2 linked regions of the Xenopus tropicalis genome follow. The protein of the gene in region 1 purifies or fractionates together with the protein of each later gene. This does not show direct contact. Links are inferred from orthologs where the notes say so. Each region holds a gene or a part of one and is shown in the gene's direction. Other genes may lie near its edges.

What was found.
Region 2: the proteins of polr3f (region 1) and polr3gl purify together in Homo sapiens (co-immunoprecipitation; 5 studies listed by BioGRID and IntAct, counting the BioPlex papers as one, with this or other methods). This does not show direct contact. The link is inferred for Xenopus tropicalis from reciprocal best matches to the Homo sapiens genes POLR3F and POLR3GL.

The regions. Positions count from the first base shown.
Region 1 is NC_030681.2:38,388,632-38,398,566, forward strand, and holds polr3f (DNA-directed RNA polymerase III subunit RPC6), read left to right. Parts: upstream 1-385; 5' UTR 386-547; coding exon 548-603; intron 604-2,130; coding exon 2,131-2,248; intron 2,249-3,364; coding exon 3,365-3,432; intron 3,433-3,556; coding exon 3,557-3,624; intron 3,625-3,925; coding exon 3,926-4,038; intron 4,039-5,632; coding exon 5,633-5,776; intron 5,777-7,190; coding exon 7,191-7,298; intron 7,299-8,564; coding exon 8,565-8,756; intron 8,757-9,207; coding exon 9,208-9,285; 3' UTR 9,286-9,528; downstream 9,529-9,935. UniProt on the Homo sapiens protein: DNA-dependent RNA polymerase catalyzes the transcription of DNA into RNA using the four ribonucleoside triphosphates as substrates.
Region 2 is NC_030684.2:128,424,253-128,434,975, forward strand, and holds the start of polr3gl (DNA-directed RNA polymerase III subunit RPC7-like), read left to right. Parts: upstream 1-5,464; 5' UTR 5,465-5,493; intron 5,494-7,107; 5' UTR 7,108-7,242; intron 7,243-9,327; 5' UTR 9,328-9,364; coding exon 9,365-9,484; intron 9,485-10,723. UniProt on the Homo sapiens protein: DNA-dependent RNA polymerase catalyzes the transcription of DNA into RNA using the four ribonucleoside triphosphates as substrates. Specific peripheric component of RNA polymerase III which synthesizes small RNAs, such as 5S rRNA and tRNAs.

The DNA.
Region 1 (9,935 bases):
TCTAAATTGATAGCACCCTGACTTACCTTGATAAAATATCCCACTGTGGACCCCGGCGCAGCCTTTGTCCCACCTCCCGTTACTAGAGACGCGGTGTAGTAAAAACCTGCTTCCTGACGGTGTCTGCCCTTTTCATTGGTCAAGTCTGGCTGCCTAGCAACTAAAGATGCGAAGATGACGCTAATAAACCATCGCCCATATTTCTTCACACTCTCAAAGCGCATGCTCCTATGCATGACGTATTTCCGCAGCAAATGCTACACAGACGACTTGCTGTATTTGGAAATTGTAAAGCGTGAAAATGTTTGGTTAGCGACAACGTAAATCGCGAAGTCCTTTAGTTAAAAGACGTAGTACCTTTGATTTGAAAATATATTGTCCGCTCGGAAGTTGTTCCGTTCCAAACGCTCCCTTTTGCCCGAAAGCAAAATGGCTGCCGATACTTTCTGCTGATCGAGCTGCAGCGCTAGTGCTACCTGAACTGGGGGTGTTGGGGCGACAGTCGTTAAGGGGGACACGTGGGCAAAGGATAGGGACTCAAATAAACATGTCAGAAGCGAAGGTGAAGCAAGAAGGTGGGGAGGCAGCGGAGATAGAGAACAGGTAAGCGGTGCAAAGCGGAGTATGTCTTTGGCGTTTTGGCTATGTTGGTTTACTTTTTTCAATTACATAAGGTTTAAATGAAAGTCCCTTGCATTAGAAAGACACATTGATCAATATAATCATATTGGCAGCATATGCTTACAGTTATAGCAGAAAACTAAAGTTATTTATTAGTTGTGTCACTTGCTGTCACGCATTGACTTGCTCAATGTCTGTCCCAGGTTATATCCAGCCTTTCTTCAGAGCTGTGGTCCCAGACCAGGCATTAGAACCCTACTAGTATTTTGAAAAGCTTCATGGCAATCTCAGCTATACCTTATCTAAAGGACATGACTACACCTACACTGTGGCTGACTGATGAGACATGAACACATTTGCTAAAAGATGTGGGGTTTTTATCTGCAGGAAACCTAAAACTGTAGAGGCCAGTGTATGCCTATAGACACTTTTGCTAAACATCAGCATACTAAATAAGTCTTGTGTTGAGAATGTAATCTTTTTTTATTTTAGTTTAAAAATCCATATTTTTAACATTTATCAAATGTTTTGTAGTTATAAAGCACTAAAATAAAAGTGTTTTGTTTTTCCCCACTATTGTTTAAATGAGAATAATGAGCTGTGTATAAAGCAAATCCACTCTCTCCTAAGATGTAGCCTTTGTTAGACTTTGTGATTAGGAGCAGCCAGTGCTTATCTGTATACTGTTGATTTGTTTTACCACAAATGATGATTTGGCAGAACCAGGAAACTAGAAAATTTAAGCTGTCAGTGTCTTTGTTTAGTGCAAGAAATAACTAAAAGCCATACATTACTTGGAAAAACTATATTTATTGTTTAGCTCATGGTAAAAAGAAATATACTGCCCCTTAAAGGAAACTTTTAAGGACTGTCTTATAGTAAAAAGGGACAATAAAAATATGTGGTTATGATAAAGTTACACCGAATTAAAAAAAAAACAAGTGTGTTTATGCCAGGCCCGGTCTGACAGTCTATGGATTCTGGCCAATGCCAGAGTGGCTGCTGCAAGATGCCATAGAACGTCACTATGTATTGCACCTGTGGGGGGCTGTTTGGGCCTTTGTACATGAAATTCCTCTTTTGAATCTTAGTCCGGACCTGTAGACTGCCTCTGGTGTATGTAGTACAGCATGTAGTACCAAAAAACATCCAACATCTGTCTACCAATGGAGGGTGGCTGTTATTACAGCTGTCCAAAAAAAAAAAAAGCAGCAATGGCTTCGGTTCTTTAAACATCCTCTTTGTTGTTAGTGTGATTTTTAGTCACATAATACTCCGTTCCAGCCGTTTGTTTCTTGCAGTTGTTGGCTCACATAAGGGGTAGCAGTTCTTTCATACTGGACATGATCTAAATATTCTGCATGTGTTGTGCATTCCTTCCACTAACATCAGGGGCCAAAATTATTACAAATAAAATGTTAGAGAAAGTCAACAGTCTCATAAACACTTAACACAGTTACACTTAAGCTTTTTCTAGTTCTTTAATGGTATTTTTTTCTATATATTTAGGGTTATTGAGCTGTGCCAGCAGTTTCCTCATGGTATCACTGACCAAGTTATTCAAAATGAGATGCCTCACATTGAAGCCAAACAAAGGGCCATGTGCATCAACCGACTGCTGGCAACTGTAAGTTCTTTTATATTTGTTTTCTTTTTGTCTTACATAATGTATGTTAAAACTATGGCTATATGGCCCCTTGTTTAGATTGAGATACTGAGGGGCAGTTCATTTTGCAAGCTAGGAAATACAGAAGTAAATCACCAAAACTACAAAAACAATAATGGCAGTAGTGACAACGTTTTAACTTTATTATTGCCTAATATTACTTGCATTATCATTTTGAATTTAGCCCCTTGCATGTCATAAATATTTGATGTTGCCCCTCTGTATGTTCCCAATAGTTATACACTGCAGAATAGATAAATCAAAGGCTTCTTTACTGTGACAAATGCCATATAGGGTTAAACATTAAAAAGTTTGAACATTTTTACAATCCATTTCAGTAGAATGACTTTAGGCCAGAACATGTAATACCAGAGAGCAGTTCTAGGATATTCTTTTTATCAACAATTTTTACCAACAAGATTGCTCGTTGCCTGTATGGAAACAGCACAAATATCTTTTGATACCTATTGATAATCAAGTATGGAATACACTCCCCAGCATCCCCATACACTCCCCAGCATCCTGCAGCTGCCCACCCCAGCATTCTCCAGCTCCCCCCCCAGCATTCTCCAGCTCCCCCCCCAGCATTCTCCAGCTCCCCCCACCAGCATTCTCCAGCTCCCCCCACCAGCATTCTCCAGCTCCCCCCACCAGCATCCTCCAGCTCCCCCACCAGCATCCTCCAGCTCCCCCCACCAGCATCCTCCAGCTCCCCCCACCAGCATCCTCCAGCTCCCCCCACCAGCATCCTCCAGCTCCCCCCACCAGCATCCTCCAGCTCCCCCCCAGCATGCTCCAGCTCCCCCCCAGCATGCTCCAGCTCCCCCCCAGCATTCTCTAGCTCCCCCCAGCATTCTCTAGCTCCCCCCAGCATTCTCTAGCTCCCCCCAGCATTCTCTAGCTCCCCCAGCATTCTCTAGCTCCCCCCAGCATTCTCTAGCTCCCCCCCCAGCATCCCCTAGCTCCCCCCCCCCAGCATCCTCTACATCTTCAGCAACCTAGAGAAAAAGAGCTATTGCTGATGCATGTAAATTGCTCTGTGGATCCACTGACTTTATTCCCTTCTTTCATTTTCAGGGTCAGCTGGATCTGTTACGAAGTGGTGCAGGACTGCTGTACAGGTTGAAGGATCCACAAACTGCTGGGTGAGATTATTTAATAATAATAAATATAAATATATATATTGATATATTATATATACATTGAATTATATGTGGGGAATTAAAGACTGGTACACAAATATGCATTTTCTTTTTCTCTGTTTTGCAGTAAAATGAAGGGTTCAGACAATCAGGAGAAGTTAGTGTATCAGATAATTGAGGATGCTGATAACAAAGGTATGCTCTATAAATGTAATAGGTTGTGCTTATTCACATTTCTTTATCTGTTGTTAGGAGATAGATCCATGATTAATGACAATAGCTGTATGTAGAAATATTATGGCAAGGATGTTACTTGGTGCTTACAAAAAGAAAATGTAAATTGGCCACATTTCTTCTTGAAGCTTAAATGGACTTTATTTCAAATTCTACATCAGAGATTTTTTGCTGTTATTCTATCAAAATAGTTTAAAGTGCTGCATATAAGAGAGTGCATCTATATAAAGAAATCACAGAAAAAACTCTTTGTTTTATTCAGGTATATGGAGCCGAGATATAAGGTACAAAAGCAATTTGCCACTGACTGAAATCAACAAAATTTTGAAAAACCTAGAGAGCAAGAAACTTATTAAAGCTGTGAAATCTGTAGCTGTAAGTTTGTGTGGTTTTCTTAACATTTATATATTTCATATGTAAATGGGACGGGGGATATAACAATCAGAACTGTTGCAGGATTAAAGGAACAGTAACACAAAAAAAAGAAATTAATATAATGTACTGTTCATCATCACTGGAAGATGTTGTATGTGTTCTTCAGAAAGACTACTATAGTTTAATTAAATAAGCTGTTGTGTAGCCATAGGGGCAGCCATTCAAGTTGGAAAAAAGGATAAAAGGCAGACATAGCAGATACCATATAAGCTCTGTAGAATACAATGGTGTTATTAGATATTTAGCCCCATTTCAGTAGCTACCTGCTATGACTACACAGCAGCTTTGTTTATATAAACTATAGTAGTGTTTCTGAAGCAAAACCTTTAATAAGTGTCAGGCAGCAGTACATTATATTTAATTAATTTGATATACTTACATTATTTAGTGTTACTTTAAAGGGTTACTGTTATGACCTTTTGTGTGGGTGTTATTTTGTAAATAAGATACTATTTATAAAAATAATGAACATGTTTTGTTCATGTTTTATGTTGCACAGTGTCACAGGTTGCACTATTATACAGCTGCTATACTGGTCCTTCACTGAGACTACTGTTTAATTTATGGCAGGACCTCTTTCTCTAACAACTCCTTTTATTTATAAGTAGAAGTGGTGTTACATACCCAGAGACAACAGCAAGGCCCTGCAAAATAATCTTGAGTTTCTGAAATTCCAATACCATTACATCCTGCTACTCTACTATTATTGTTATAGATTTTTTTTTTTTGGAACTCTGATATGCTGCCAAACTGTTAAGTAATTGGTGTTACAGTGATTGGGATCTCTATACACCCTCTGCCTTTCCTTGATAATGTTTGGCAAAGCAGCATGAGTGATCAAAAGTAATAGTGGAGATTTCAGATCGCGCAAGCTGCTTTGCCTTAAGTCAGTGTTTGTGCATGTTAGCTTGGGAAGACAGTGCCTTGCCTTCCTGTGCGGACAAGTATATGTACTAAGCTTAGTCAAAGCAGACCATGTAAACAAATATCCACTCTGACTTGTCTAAATTTCCCCACTGCTTTCCTATTGTAGCACAAACCTAGGATGACACTGGGCAAGAGAGAGAGTTTGGCCAACGTTCTCAGAGCAGAAACTACACTGTATTTGTGTAATTCCAGCATGTCCTTTTAATAACAGCAAGCAATACTGCATTGTGCTCAGTGACTACAATTGTTATTCTACGTACTACTAGTCATGCTGTACATTTACCATTTTAGAGCAAAACCAATGAACTTTGTTTGCATTTATCTTGTTTTTATTCTAAAGCTGCAACTATTATGATTGTATTAATACCTATTCATAAAGCACTATACAAAACTGGTCGAAACAGGAGGTAAAGTTGTCCCTTTTCAGGAGAGCTTACAATCTAAAACCAGTCTCTTATTTTGCTGCTTCTTTAAAATACAATGTACACATATTTCTACCCTATCAAGGCAAATAGTGATTTGTAAAATGATTGCACCTCTTTAGCAACATCTTGTCGTTCATCATGGTCCCCTTAAGTAACCTAGCACGTGTGCTTCTCCATCATAGGCTTCAAAGAAGAAAGTTTACATGTTGTACAATCTGCAGCCAGATCGCTCTGTGACAGGAGGAGCTTGGTACAGTGACCAGGATTTCGAATCTGAGTTTGTGGAGGTGTTAAATCAACAATGTTTTAAATTTCTACAAACCAAGGTAAACAGTTCAGCCATCAAGATTTGTGATAGTATTCAAAAGTGTATTTATTTTGCTCTTTTATTTTCCCAAAAAGTGAAGTGTGAGGGCCCAAATGACAATGATTATTAATGCAGCCTATGTAAAATGCCTTGGTCAGGAAAAGCAATAGGACAGCTGCTATTCGTGTGCATAAATGCAAATAGACTTGCAAGATTTATTGTTCTGGATCGCGTAAGTGATCAGCAGTTCTCCAGTTTGGAATTTCAGCAGCTATCTGGTTGCTAGGGTTTTGTTTACCTTGGCAACCAGGCAGTGATTTGAATGAGAGACTGGAATATGAATAGGCGAGGGACTGAATAGAAAGATAACGAATAAAAGTAACAATAATAATAAAATTGCAAGCTCACAGAGCAATAGGTTTTTGGCTGCCAGGGTCAGTGACCCACCATTTGAAAGATGCAGAAGAGGAAGGCAAATAATTCAAAAACTATAATTAAATAAAAAAAGACTAATTGCAAAGTTTCTAGGAATACGACATTCATATTAACTTAAAGGCAAACCACCGTTTTGGGATAGGAGATGCTCTTCCCCTCATTAAATTAAGTTACTAAACAAGGGGTACATATATTAAGTTTGATAAGATCTGGGGAAACTGGTGCAACCAAGATAACCTGGACACATAGCTCACCCCCTTATATTAAGTGTGACTGACCCGACAGAACTAAACACTGCCACCTACATAGTGACAACTGCAATGCCTAGCAATAGTATTCTTGCTTGTACTGACCTAAACTCAACTTGACACCATTCCAATGTCAGTATATTAAACACTGTTTTGTATTTTATTGTTTTGTGATGTTGTAAAATCAATAAAAATTTACCTTTAATAAAAAAAAGGCAAACCACCACAAATGTTATTGACCTGAGAAACTATTATCCTGTTACAATAAAATCACTTCTGTAACAGCACCTACATGAATAAAGCATGGCATAGAAGTATAGAGTTTTGAGCATTATAATCACTGCTGCTGTGTTTAAATGCCATTAGTAGCCTTGTCCTAATATACAATTTAACTGAAGAGTGTCAAAATACTTGTTATGTTATTAAGTTAAAATGGGCCCCATACTGGTTGAATCCCATATTATAATTTTTATAAATTATTTTTAATAGAAAATTTTATTAAAACAAATTGCAATTCAAAACCAATTTTTAGGTTGCAAAACCACTTTCTAATCTTTGTCTCTTGAGAAAAAGGTTAAAAAAAATACTGAATTTAACTGTATTAAATTTAACTGTATGTTTCCAGGGATGGGAAATACCTCTCCATGAATCCTGAATAAATAATATATGCATATGATACCTTGTTTCTGATATGTACTCAACACATACATACTGTAATGGTACTTGTTTGGTGTGCTTTAACCTAAACAGGCTGAAGCAGCAAGGGACAGTAAACAAAACCCCATGATACAGAGGAACAGCTCATTTGCCTCATCCCATGAAGTCTGGAAATACATCTGTGAACTGGGGATTAGCAAGGTGAGCTGGACCTTCTCTTTATATATGACACATGCATTAGTAGTGTGTAACATGAGCACTGAAATGTTCAATGGTGTAAAATATGTTGTATCCCAAATGCCATTTTAAAGTAAAAGAAAACTGTGTTTGGTGTGGGAGGCCCACTGAGCTCTCCTTTTTATACAATTCACTGACCACTATTAAAGGAACAGTAACACCAAAAAATGTATAGATTTCAAAGAAATTAAACTATAATGTACTGCTGCCCTGCACTGGTAAAAGTTTTGTGTTTGCTTCAGAAACATTACTAGAGTTTATATGAATCCTGGTGTGTAGCCATGGGGGCAGCCATTTAAAAGAAGAAAAGGCACAGGTTATATAGCAGCTAACAGATAAACCCTGTAGAATACAATGGTGTCTTATCTGTTATCTGCTATGTAACCTGTGCCTTTTCTCCTTTTTTCCAGCTTGAATGGCTGCCCCCATGGCTACACAGCAGCTTATTTATATAAACTATAGTAGTGTTCCTGAAGCAATCACCCCAGTTTTACCAGTGCAGGGCCACAGTACGTTATATTTCAATTACTTTAAAACGCTTTCATATTTTGGTGTTACTGTACAACAAAAACATCAGCAGCTCGTCTGTGCTTGTCTATCAGCCACTGCTGTCTGTATTTCTTACATATATCTGCATATATCGACACACAGCCTATCATCTAAGACACATGGTGCAGGATGTACAGCATCTTGGGAGAGGTTATCCCCCAGAATGTGCACTCTGCACTATACAGTAGATAGTATGCCATTTTCCAGTTTGCCATGATCCCTTAGTAGAATTACCGCTCAGAATCCTTGCAAAATGTAAACAGAAACAGATCTTAGGGTGCATGAATATCTATGGTCCCTAATAACTAACAACCACAGTAGGGCACATATATAAAGTAGAAATCTATTCTTTGGGGTGTACTTTTTAGGGGTTAAGCTGAATACCGAATCCTCCATATAAATATTGAAATATAAACCAGATTCAAACCCTAATTTGCATATTCAACTGTAACGCAAATAATACATTTGCATCTCTTTAATTAAAAAAAAATGTCCCACTTGTTCAAATTCACTGTGGTGAGGTGCAAGTAATCCTGCATCCTTACTGTTATTTAACAGTAATTAACAGGAGAGAGCTGGACATTTGAGTTACTTATATGATTCTAGGGTAGGGAAGGTTCTATCCCTACACATTCATGTATTTAATAAATAACTCCCTAAAAACCTATTTGTTTTTTAAAGGTGGAATTGTCTATGGAAGATATTGAAACCATCCTGAATACTTTAATATATGATGGGAAAGTAGAGATGACCATAATCGCTGCTAAGGAGGGGACTGTGGGTAGTGTTGATGGACAAATGAAACTGTATAGGGGAGTGAACCCTATCACACAACCTGCAGGTTTAGTGAGAACCCCGTGCGGCCTGTGTCCGGTAAGAAACCCCAAGTTATCATTGTTTCTTAAAAATTTGCTTAGTCTTTGATAGTGTTACTAGGAAATCTGACCTGCAGTGTGGCTTTATCCTGCCTAGTTTCCCAGCACAGTATATGGGAGGCCTGCTGTTTTCCAAGTATATTCAGCATGTTCCATTGCTATAAATGTTAAACTAACCATGGAAATACCTATCCATTTAATCAGCTACTTACAATAGCATTCATATACTGTTACAGTAGTTATCATAGTAAGCTAGGAACTATTGTTCCTAATTTCAGTATAGTTTTCTATAAATATTTGAAAGTTTTTGTAGACTTGCTAAATAGCAAGGAGAAGACAGAATAGCTTCCAGGAATGGGTCACTGTTGCACTAAAGATTACCAGTTGTTATCAGATCTTCTTTCTGTTTAGAAACCTAAATAAAGTGTTTTGCAACATGTTCTTGCTAGGTATTTGACGACTGTCATGAAGGAGGTGAAATTTCCCCATCAAACTGCATTTATATGACAGACTGGCTGGATTTTTAGTGAAAGGAGGCTGGCCTGTTGGACCAAAATCTAACCAGAAGAGTGGTCAGTCACAACAAGGATACATGGCTGATAGTGAAGGAACTGCTCTGTTCTATGAAATGCAGTGTTTGACTGCTGTTATATTTATTTTCAGATGTTTTCATAATTGAAAGCAGCAGTAGAGAACTGTTATTTTTATTCCATATTTGGGATGACACCTATGAGGTATAACATTTTAAAGAAATAAAAATAGTTACCTCATTTAAATGCAGTTGCATTCTTGGGTCAGGTAAGAAGGACATTTGGTAATGTGAACTTACATGTCATACCTTAGGGGTGTGTACCTAGGAGCCAGAGCTCCATTTTACTTAAATCAGCATCCTGTCTATCTCAGAGCCCTGTATCTCTTTAGAAAACTGGAGACAAATTAAAGTGGGTGTAAACTTGCTGAGAGTGCTCTTCTAAACAGCATTTTACGCTAATTTTTTTTTTTTAAACAAGTATTAATACTTTTAACATGCTAAATTGGGAGTTTCAGCTCAGCTAATCTCTCGCTTTTGTTTCAAGGGTTGCCCCACTCTCTCCCAGCTCAGCTTTATAAGTTCCCTACTTGCTAATTATTGGGTCCTGCCAGGGATCATTCATGTACTTGATGCTCTTACTCATCT
Region 2 (10,723 bases), on another chromosome or scaffold:
TTCTGGTAAGGAGGCAAGTTTTGGTTGCATAAAACCAAGTATAATGCCAAACAGAGCCTCCTGTAGGCTGCCAGTCCCCATAAGGGCTATTAAGTAGCCAATTATAGCTCTTGTTGCTACCCCCACGAACCTTTTCCAGGCTTGTGTTGCTTTCCATTTAAATGTGGCTCACAGGTATAAAAGGTTGGGGATCCCTGACCTAGGCCAATGCTAAGACTGGTCTGAACACTGCTCCTGAAAGAAAATTTCCTTGGACCCCATTCAAGTGTGTTGCATCCTTGAAAGCTATCATTATTACTATAAAGATAGGAAAACTTTTGGCTGGTGCAGTCAGTTTAGTATATAAAATATGGCATTTTTAGGTATATTCATTCTTTAAGGTCTCCCTCCTTGGGTCATACAATTCACGGTGCACACAAACGAGCCAAGGCACACATACATGCTAGGCCCCATCAGCCAATGAATGGACAGAGTTCTGCCTTTTGCTTCAACACTACTTCCTGTTACAGTCAGAGCTGCATTACTTCCTGTCAGCTGATCTCTGAGGGAGCACACAGCCCATCACTAAATGGCGGCTCAAGGGAAAGGATGTAAAAGGACAATATTTACTGATATATACATATTACTTTTGGCAAGACTCTAAAATATGTCACTTAACATAATATAAACTATCTGTTGGTTCAGTATTCATTCTGGGTATAAAGGATATATTACTCCATGTTGGCCTGCCTTCTTGGGGAGTCTGGAAAATGTCCTACTTAACTAAAGTTTTTGCTTGTGGCAGTTCCATTCCTCCTGAACAAAAGCCTGGAATTTGGACTTGAGCAGGGAGGCTAACCAACTGAACTGCAGTCCGATGGAAGAGCCCTTTGGGCCTCTTTGTGGCGTGGACCACCGGCAGTAATAAGGTCATCAACATTTATAGAATTATAAGACAACACAATGGGGGGGCTGTGGCAATGCTGAAATGAAGAAAGGTATGTTTCTTGGCAACGGAATGGTGGTTTTATTCAAATCCCGTAGTTCCTCCTTCAGCACAAAAAGTCAACAATAAAGGGCTCAGAACTTTATCCAGTCCCCAAGCCCACTAGAGCAGCGTTTTTCAACCACTGTAGTGTGCCGCGAGATGTTGCCTGGTGTGCCGTAGGCAGGGCACCAATGTACTAGGGGGGCACTGCTCTTGGCACCAATGTACTAGGGGGGCACTGCTGCTGGGCACCAATGTACTAGGGGGCACTGCTCTTGGCACCAATGTACTAGGGGGGCACTGCTGCTGGGCACCAATGTACTAGGGGGGCACAGCTGCTGGGCACCAATGTACTAGGGGGGCACTGCTCTTGGCACCAATGTACTAGGGGGGCACTGCTGCTGGGCACAGAGTTAAATTTTTTAACATTTTCTAATGGTGGTGTGCCTCGTGATTTTTTTCATGAAACAAGTGTGCCTTTGTCCAAAAAAGGTTGAAAAACACTGCACTAGAGACACAAAGTGGACAAACCAGTTTACCCCAGGGGGTCTGGCAAAATCCCTCCCTTTCCCGGATGAAAGTTTTAATTGTCTGGAAAGTGGGAGTAGTTGTGGTTCTTCACAGCCTCTGGGGTTTACCCAGGCTGAGGGCAGGACAACCCTCTTTGGCTCCTCCTTGGACCTGTAGGGAGACTCTCTCCAACTGCTGATTGGATCCCCTACCCCAAGGAGGGCTGTGTACTGCTGGAAGTCTGCAAGGATATTCTCAGGTACTGTTAATTTGTGGGTTGGTTTAAAGAGATTCTGTCAACATTTTTACTTCTAAATTACACTGTTTACATAGCAAATAATTCCCTCTGCCATTTCTTGAACCAACAAATGTATTTTTAGCTTTAATATTGGTGTGTAGGCGCCATCTCAGTGCATTGTGCCTGAGTCTGAGCTTTCAGCCAGCGCTACACATTAGAACTGCTTTCAGCTAACCTATTGTTTCTCCTACTCCCATGTAACTGGAGGAGTCCCAAGCCGGACTTGGATTTCTTACTATTGAGTGCTATTCTGATACCTACTAGGGGGCTGCTATCTTGCTCCCTTCCCATTATTCTGCTGATCGGCTGCTGGGAGGGGGGGGATATCACTCCAACTTGCAGCGCAGCAGTAAAGTGTGACTGAAGTTTATCAGAGCACAGGTCACATGGCTGAAGGCACCTGGGAAAAGAAGAATATGGCTAGCCCCATGTGAAATTTCAAAATAAAATTTCATTTTATGAAAAAAAAAATTTTCAAGTATTCCTTTAAGGTGAACGCTGCCCCGCAGATTGTACCAAGAGAACAGTGTGCTTCTAACCTGTGCCAAGTCTTTAATATGAACTCTGCACTGCTGATCTGTGACCTGCTCAAGCAGGGCTCTGTACAGTTAATTTAGGGACACCACTGGGGGCGCTGTACCACTGGACTATTTGACAGAAGTGGGCTGTACACCTTATTGATTGCAACTGGTTCTTGCTTTTTTTTGTCCCCCCCTAGCCATTCTACCCTGTTTGAACCCCTAAAACAGTGATCCCCAACCAGTGGCTCAGGGGTAACATGTTGCTCCCCAACCCCTTGGATGTTGCTCTCAGTGCCCCCAAACCAGGTAGTTATTTTTGAATTCCTGACTTGGGGGCAAGTTTTGGTTGAATAAAAACAAGATTTACTACCAAATAAAGCCCCTGTAAGCTGATAGGGTGCATAGAGGCTGCCTAATAGCCAATCACAGCCCTTATTTGGCTCCTCCATTAACTTTTATGTTTGTGTTGCTCTCCAAGTCTTTTAACATTTGACTGTGGCTCAAACCTCAAAGAAAGGTTGGGGATCCCTGCCATAAAATAAAGTGTGGAGTGTCGCTGATCTGTGTCAGTTTCCAACATGTAAGATTAGAGGGGGTGATAGAGGCCTCCCTCACAGAGAACATCATAGTGCCGCAGTTAAAAAAAGAGCCTAAAAAACCTATTTTTGGGTCATTTTTACTAATCGTCTTCACCTAAAATAGCCCTTTTTGTCCATGAACTGTGAAAAACCTGCCCCTGGGAGGCTCCCACACCATTAGCCCTTTTAGTGCCATAGGACGTAGATTCTACGTCCTGGGTAGCAAAGGACCAAAGTGCCACAGGACGTAGAATCTACGTCCTACAGCACTATCAGGTTTACAAGCGCTGCGCTGGCTTTTAAAGCAGCGCAGCGCTTGTAAACCCTTCACAACCCCCTAGGCAACGAGCAAAGACAGTCATACTCACCGATCCGGTCCCCCGATCGCGTCGCCAGCCAATGACAGCAGTGGACACGCGATGATGACGTGTCCACTGCTGTCCCTTTAAATAGCGCCGCCTACTGTCGGCTCCTCATTCCTGCTGCGCACTTCGGACCTGATGGAGCTCCCCTGCTGCCTTCCTGCCAGATTGGTCGCCCCTGATCGCCTGCCTGCCTTGGGTAAGCTGAACTACAACTCTCTACCACTGTTTATTTTGCTTATTTCTATCTCAACTGTCTAAAATTTTTTTTTTTTTTCAATTTTTTCTTCTATCTTTGTCATTATTACACTTTTGCACACATACACACTTATTTACAACTTTCCCAAGCACACACAGACACTTACACACACACTTACACTTTTTTTTTTTTTTCTATCTTTCTTTTCTCTTCTTTCTTTCTTTGCTTTCTTTGGCAGTCTTTTTTTTTTTACTAAAACTTTATTTCTGATCTTGCTCTATAATTATCTGATTTATTTGGTTGCATTTTAGTGTTTTTTTGGCATTTTCATAATTGATTTGTTTTTTTATTATTGTATTGTATTGTAACTTTTTTTATTGCTATTGGGTGCTGAATTTGCAGTGACGTTGGTGGATCCAGGGCTCTGACCACCAATTTCATTGCAATTATTGTTCTTCTGTTGGTTTAGGTGGTTTTATTGGATTTTACTGATTTTATGGTGTTTTATCTTTGCATTGTTCTTTATTGTGTGTTTAGTGCCCCAAAAAGGTTGCTTTTGCAGTGACATTGGTGGATCCAGGGCTCTGACCACCGATTTCATCAGGGCTTTTACAAACGACAAAAAAAATTGTGCAAAATTAACTTTTCTATGGAAAAAAACCTCAAAATATACAGAAATTTTTCATAATTTTTTTTTTTTTTTTACATATTTCACCCAAAATACACATCATATCTCCAGAAAAGTTATAAAATTTGGTATGTATGTCGAAGCCCAATTAGTGACGAAAAAAACGATATATAATTTCCCTAGTTTCATGGAGGTTTTCCTACCAAAAAACATTGTTAAAGTGAATGAGTACAAAATGCTTAAAAAACGTCTGGCACTGGGGGGAACCGAAATGACGAATTCGGCTGGCACTTAAAGGGTTAAAATAACCCAAAAACTAAAGCTTATTGTTAATATGTATTTCACCTATTATCTTCTCGTATATCAGACCATAATCTACTCCTACATTGTAAAATATATTGCTCTTAGGCTTAACATAAAACAACAAAAAGGAGCAGCTTGTTTTGGGGTAACAGGAACAGCCGCTTTATTGAAACCATTTGTGGGAAAACCCTGTCAGCACCTAGAACGTTCTACTCCAGAATCAACACCTTGAAGTTAGAACAAATTAACTGTAAATTGTTACTTTTGGGTAATTTCACCCATTGTCTACTTAAAGTGCCCCTGGCTTCCTTCCAAATTGTAAAAAAATATGGCTCATTTGCACTGAAACTCTTCTTTTAAGCCAAATTAATAGAAAAGTATGAATAAAATTCCTTTAAAAAAAAAAAAAAAAAAAAGCCCTTTTTATGTCAAATGTAGGAAAAGATTGACTATTGGACTAGTGCCTTTACCCCTCAAGTAAAAAAGTGACCAAGCCATTAATAGCAGTTAGCATAGGCTTAGTCTTGGCCAAACACTATGACCTAAAGCCCTGGGCAAGTAGGAAAGACTAGTAATCCCAACAGAAAGAATATTTTTTCCCTCGACAAAATAGCCTCATAACTAACACTTGTGAGTAGCCTCCTGTTATCCCAACCCCACTACTGCGCATTACTAACAGCTTGCACTTCTGCACAACTATCACACACATTCACACTGCTCGCCATTCTCGCAATGCCGCTATACGATGCCTCACCCCCTTATATAATGTTAAAGTGACGTCATAATCTCGCGAGATGAGACTTGCGACTTCCGAGAGCTAAAATACAAATGTCAAGGACGCAGCAGAATTTTAAAACCTTGATACGGGAATGCGGCCCGTGTTATAAAAATCGCGACTGCTGGCCGGTATGTTTGCATTTTCTTGCGCAATAAAGGTTTTCGCAGCGCCTTGTCACTATGGCAACTGCCAGTTCCCAATGACTTGTTCCGCCGTGCTTCACCCCGCCCCCAATCTCCTCAGTCATTGGCTGGTGGTACCACACGGCGGTAGCCTTGTGGGCGTGGCTATTGTGTACGTCATCACTATGCGCTATAAAAGTTGCATTCTGCGGGTGGGGAAGCGTGCAGTAAGACGAAAAATACCTATAATATCAATGTTATAAACATTTGTGTAGAAAATGATGATTTCGGCTTTGTTGCTGTAGCGCTACAACGAAGTAGTGTTCCCTCTAGTCTCTTTTCAAATTATATTTTGTCTGCACATTTGGCAAATTCTGTAGGCACAGAAGGAGAAGGGTTGCAATAAGAAAAAAAAAATCTTTGTGTATCGCACTTTGTTGCGTGCAATGGCATTTTTACCAGTCAGGTGGCAACCCTCATTGGGGCCCATGGCTTAGAGGGAACTCTATTTTATTTATAATTGCTGATTTGGCACAGATCAACCTGTAGAGCTGCTTTATTTCCTGTCAGCTGATCTCTGAGGGAGCACACAGCCCATCACTAAATGGCGGCTCAAGGGAAAGGATGTAAAAGGGAAATATGTACTGATATATATATTCCAGTTTGGGGAGATTCTTTAATAGGTCACTTAATATAATATAATCTGTCTATTGGTTAATTTTTCATTCTGGGGGTAAACTTACTTCCATGACTCCCATGTCAGGACTGGAGTTCCCACTAGACTTTAGATTGTTTACTATGTTTATGGCCTGTTCATTATTAAGCCATGTGTGGCCACAACACAGCATACATGCAGCACACACTGTGCAGAACATACAACTGCATTAAAGGAGAAGGAAAGGCTAATAAAGAGTTAATCTCAAGCTGCAGGCATACCGTCGGTTCTCTCAATAGTGCCCTTAAGTCTCCCTATATTTCTCCCGTTCAGATGATCAGAAGCCTCATAGGAAAAAAAAAAACTGAGATTTGTAATGCCTCGCTCCTGCACCAAGACCAGTGTACATGCTCAGTTAGTAAGACTATGAGGAAGCTTCCTGCTGATTGGCGCAGATCCTCATTCCTAAAGCTGGCCATACACGGGTGGCGATATCAGGGAGGCATGTAGGTGAATTCGATCATTTGGCCCTGGGGCCAAACGATCGAATTCTGCACGCGGCAATGGGGCAGTCGGTTCGGGGACTGCATCAACGAGCCGATGCGGTCCCCGATCCGACGGGATTTTCTAACCTGGCCGATCGTTATCTGGCCAATTTCAGGCCAGATATCGGTCGGCCATTCCGCTCGTTTCTGCCCCTACACGGGCCGATAAGCTGCCGAGTCGGTCCAAGGGACCGATATCGGCAGCTTCTATCGGCCGTGTATGGGGACCTTAAGGGGGAGGGAAGTGAGTTCTTAGCATTCTTGAGGGAGGAGGGAGCAGGAGAGAGCTGCGTGTCTGTAGCAGAGGAAAACAGACAAGAAATCCTGTGTTTCTTTTGATAGAGGACTCAGTGCAGCGTTTCTGTGAGTGCTTATGGCTGTATTTACATAGACCTTTCTGATATTAGTTTTTTACCTTTCCTTTTCCTTTAAAGGCCTTACTTAAAATTCAAGACTTAAAAATGAGGGCATGTACCCACATATTTTCCTACCCCTGGTTTATATGCTGCGTGCTGCTGTCATGTATATGGGGTAAACATCAAATGGCAACTGCTGTAACCAAGTTTTTTTATTCAGAGATGGGGGTAGGAATAGTATTTTCACTAATTAGCAACTTACACGAAGTCCTTTTATGTTTTTAGGCTCTTTGAGACCCGAAATTAAACATGTCGAAAGCACCAAACAGCTGACATGGGAAGAGGACAAGGATTCCCCACCTGGTAATGCAGTGCTGACCATGTAGGAAAGTGGCAGCTCTGAGGCACTTTTTTGTAAAGGTAATTGCACGCATATACACTGTTAGCTCATTATGCTGATACGGTGCTCTCCTATTCTGGAAGCATTGCTGTCTAATCTTTTAGATACAGACAGATGGTGCTTAAACATTGCATGGAGCACCTTTGTACAACATTCACAATTCTAACAGTTCACATTAAAAGAACAAGCTTTGCCATATACATAGTTAACAAATAATATGCAGGTGAAGTTATATTCACCTCAGAATCATCCTTCTGCTGATTCTTAACTTCTGCACAGACCCTGTGCTTTGGGAGGGGGTCAGTGACCCCTATAAACCCTACAGTCTTTTTTACTTTATTATATGATGTCATGGATAGTGCTTGCAGTGTACTTAACTCCTATTGGCTGTGTCTCCTGTCAGTCTGACACTGCTTCCTGTGCCTGTGATAGAGTGCTGCAAATCTATCATAACAGTATGTTATATTTATGATTTGCTAAGTCTATTTGCCTATGCCATTTAAAGTGATAAATTAACCAACTTTTCAATTTATGCAACTGGTTAGAGTTCAAAAGCAACCAGTTAATTGGTCCAAAAGTAAAGGCAAAGCCTGGACGTGATGATTTACGCATATAGGAAAGGGATCCCCAAGCTTTTTTTACTCATGAGCCACAGTCAAATGTAAAAAGACTTGAGGAGCAACACAAGCACCATAACAGTTCATGGAGGAGCCAAATAAGGGTTGTGATTGGCTATTAGGCAGCCTCTATGCACACTATCAGCTTACAGGGGCTTTATTTGGTAGTAAATTCTGTTTTATTCAACCAAAACTTGCCCCCAAGTCAGGAATTCAAAAATAACTCCCTGGTTTGGGGGCACTGGGAGCAACATCCAAGGGGTTTGGTGAGAAATATGTTGGCCCCGAGCCACTGGTTGGGGATCACTGATATAGGAAAGTTCTCAGTGTGTCAGGTTCTAAATAGGCCACTCCCATCCCTTCAGAAAACTGATCAGAGAGACAGAATGAGGACTGATTTAAAGGTATAAAAAGTAGCTTTTTCAGTGGCCTTTGTACTTTTTTTATGTAAAATGCTGCAAGCATTGTTGGTGGTTTACTAAAAATTAGACATTGAAGGCAAACAACCCCTTTAAAGGGAACGTTAGCCCAAGTGATACCTTATATTACCAAAAGTATCTGGACACCTACCTGTCCATTATTTAATGAATTTAAACAAAACAAAAAAAGAAGTGGTCCTGCTGCTCCAGGTCCTTAGCTCAGGGAAGCCGACAGGCTATCATAACAAAGTAAAAATAGATGATGAGCACTAAAAGTTAAACCCAGTGTTGGATGACCACAAGTATCTGGACATCTACCTGTCCACTGTCTCTGTTAATTAAAACAAAACAAAACAGAAGGGCACCAAAGCACAAATCTATGTAGAAGACATACCAATTCAAGAAAGCAGTCTGGGTGCTACTGACCTTTAGCTCAGGGAAGCAGAAAGACCATAACAAAGCAAAAATAGGTGATGGGTAATCCAATTTATCCACAAAGGGCACAAAATAGTAGTCAAAATCTCTGTTTATAACATTATCTCTACAACCTTACACATATTGTGCCCAAAAACACACTTAATCATAGTTCCACATTATTTTAATGAAACCAAAAGTATAGTCCATCTTACCTGAAGAAACACAGGTATTTGGCCAGTTGCAGCCAAGAAAAGCAGATGTGGCAATGGGTCGCTGCCTTGCTGGGTTCCTTTTCCTTACTTGCCACCTCCCCTTGCTCCTGGATGAGTTTACTTCTGAGTTTATGACGACCACATTTTTGGTCTGATGATAAAGCTTCCAGTTTTATAGTGAGAAGTGGGTCCAAGTGGGTAGAAATACAAGTCTGTGGGTTTGGTGGAATAGCCCTTTGAGATCTTTAGCCAAGGGTATTAATATGAATATGTTATCTGTTATACCAACCCATATTCTTCTGGGAAGCCTTTTTACTGGATGGTGGAACATTGTTGGATTGCTATACACTACATGAAGGAAGTCATGAGATATATACAAAAACAAAATATACAACAACATATACAAAATGTCAGGTGATGTTGATATCTCTTATACCCAGGCTAGGTTATTCTACTGTTTCTTGGGCATAGCACAAGATGGCTGGAAAAGGCAGAGGTAGCGGTCGGGGCCAACTGACCTTTAATGTAGAAGCTGTTGGAATTACCAGAGGGGAAGCACTGCCGCCACCCACTCTCCAACCTCCCCCGTTGTTCCCGGTAAGTTAAGCTCTATACAGCTTTGGTATTAAAGGAAAAGTAACACTAAAAATTTTTAAGTAAAAAAATCTATTCTACCCTGCTCCAATAATTGCCCTATCCTGCACACCGTTTATTATTTTGAATGCTTTATTAGAAAATACCTGCTAAAACCTGGCTTCCGGTCATTTGAAATAAGGCGATGCAGAAGCAGAATTGATCGATCACAGCCTGACTCCTTTGATCGATCCTTGCCTGACTCCTTCCTATACAGAAGGAAGGCTAGGATTGATCGTCGCGTAGTGGATTCTGCTTCTACATCGCCGTATCGCCTTATTTCAAATGACCGGAAGCCGGGTTTTAGCAGAAATTTTCTAATAAAGCATTCAAAATAATAAATGGTGTGCAGGATAGGGCAATTATTGGAGCAGGGTAGAATAGATTTTTTACTTACTTTCCTTTAAAGTGTACATGCTATGTATAGAAATGTACCAAAATAGGCATGAGTGGGGAACATATTGTAACTAAACCACAACTCCCCATATTTTTGACTGCTGATATGTGTTATTGGAGTCAGCAGACTGAATTTCAGCAAGAAGCAGTGAACTACAGGCTCCTGATCCATATCTTAGCATTTTAGTATCTGTTTTCCCTGTCTGCCCATTGTGCACTGCCTTCTATTGCTTTCTGACTTTTTGCCTGTTGGGTGGCAGGATCAGGGTCTGCATTTTTCATTACAGTGCCCAGTTGCCCACCCCTGTGCCTGCCATCCACCTGTTTGCTACTATGGGCCCTTTACAAGTGAGATACATGTGGCCTTCCCTAAGGTATAATGGCCTTTTAGTTATACTGTTATGTTTATAGAATATACATAGGCTTATTTTTCATTTGTCATGGGTTTAAATGCTACTTACCTGGATAGTATTAGGTCTTTATTCATTTTTTTGTACTAATAGGTTTTATTATTTTTTCCTTACTTTCCTAACTTTTTTCACTTGAAAGAAAACCCAGCCATGCTGTGTGTCAGTAGTGCATTGCATACTCATGCTGGAATCAGACTGGACTTTACCTGTCAGTGACTGACAGTAGGGTGTGTTGTTTACAGCTGGGAAACATGTTAGGTTGCGGAACTCAAAAGAAATTCATGCAGCAACTCTATGTACAACAGTTTTGTTAAACATTCCCTGCAGTTTCTTTTTAAAGGACAAGGAATGGTTAAATTACTGGGGGGGGGGGGGCACTCCCTTCAGTGATTATAAT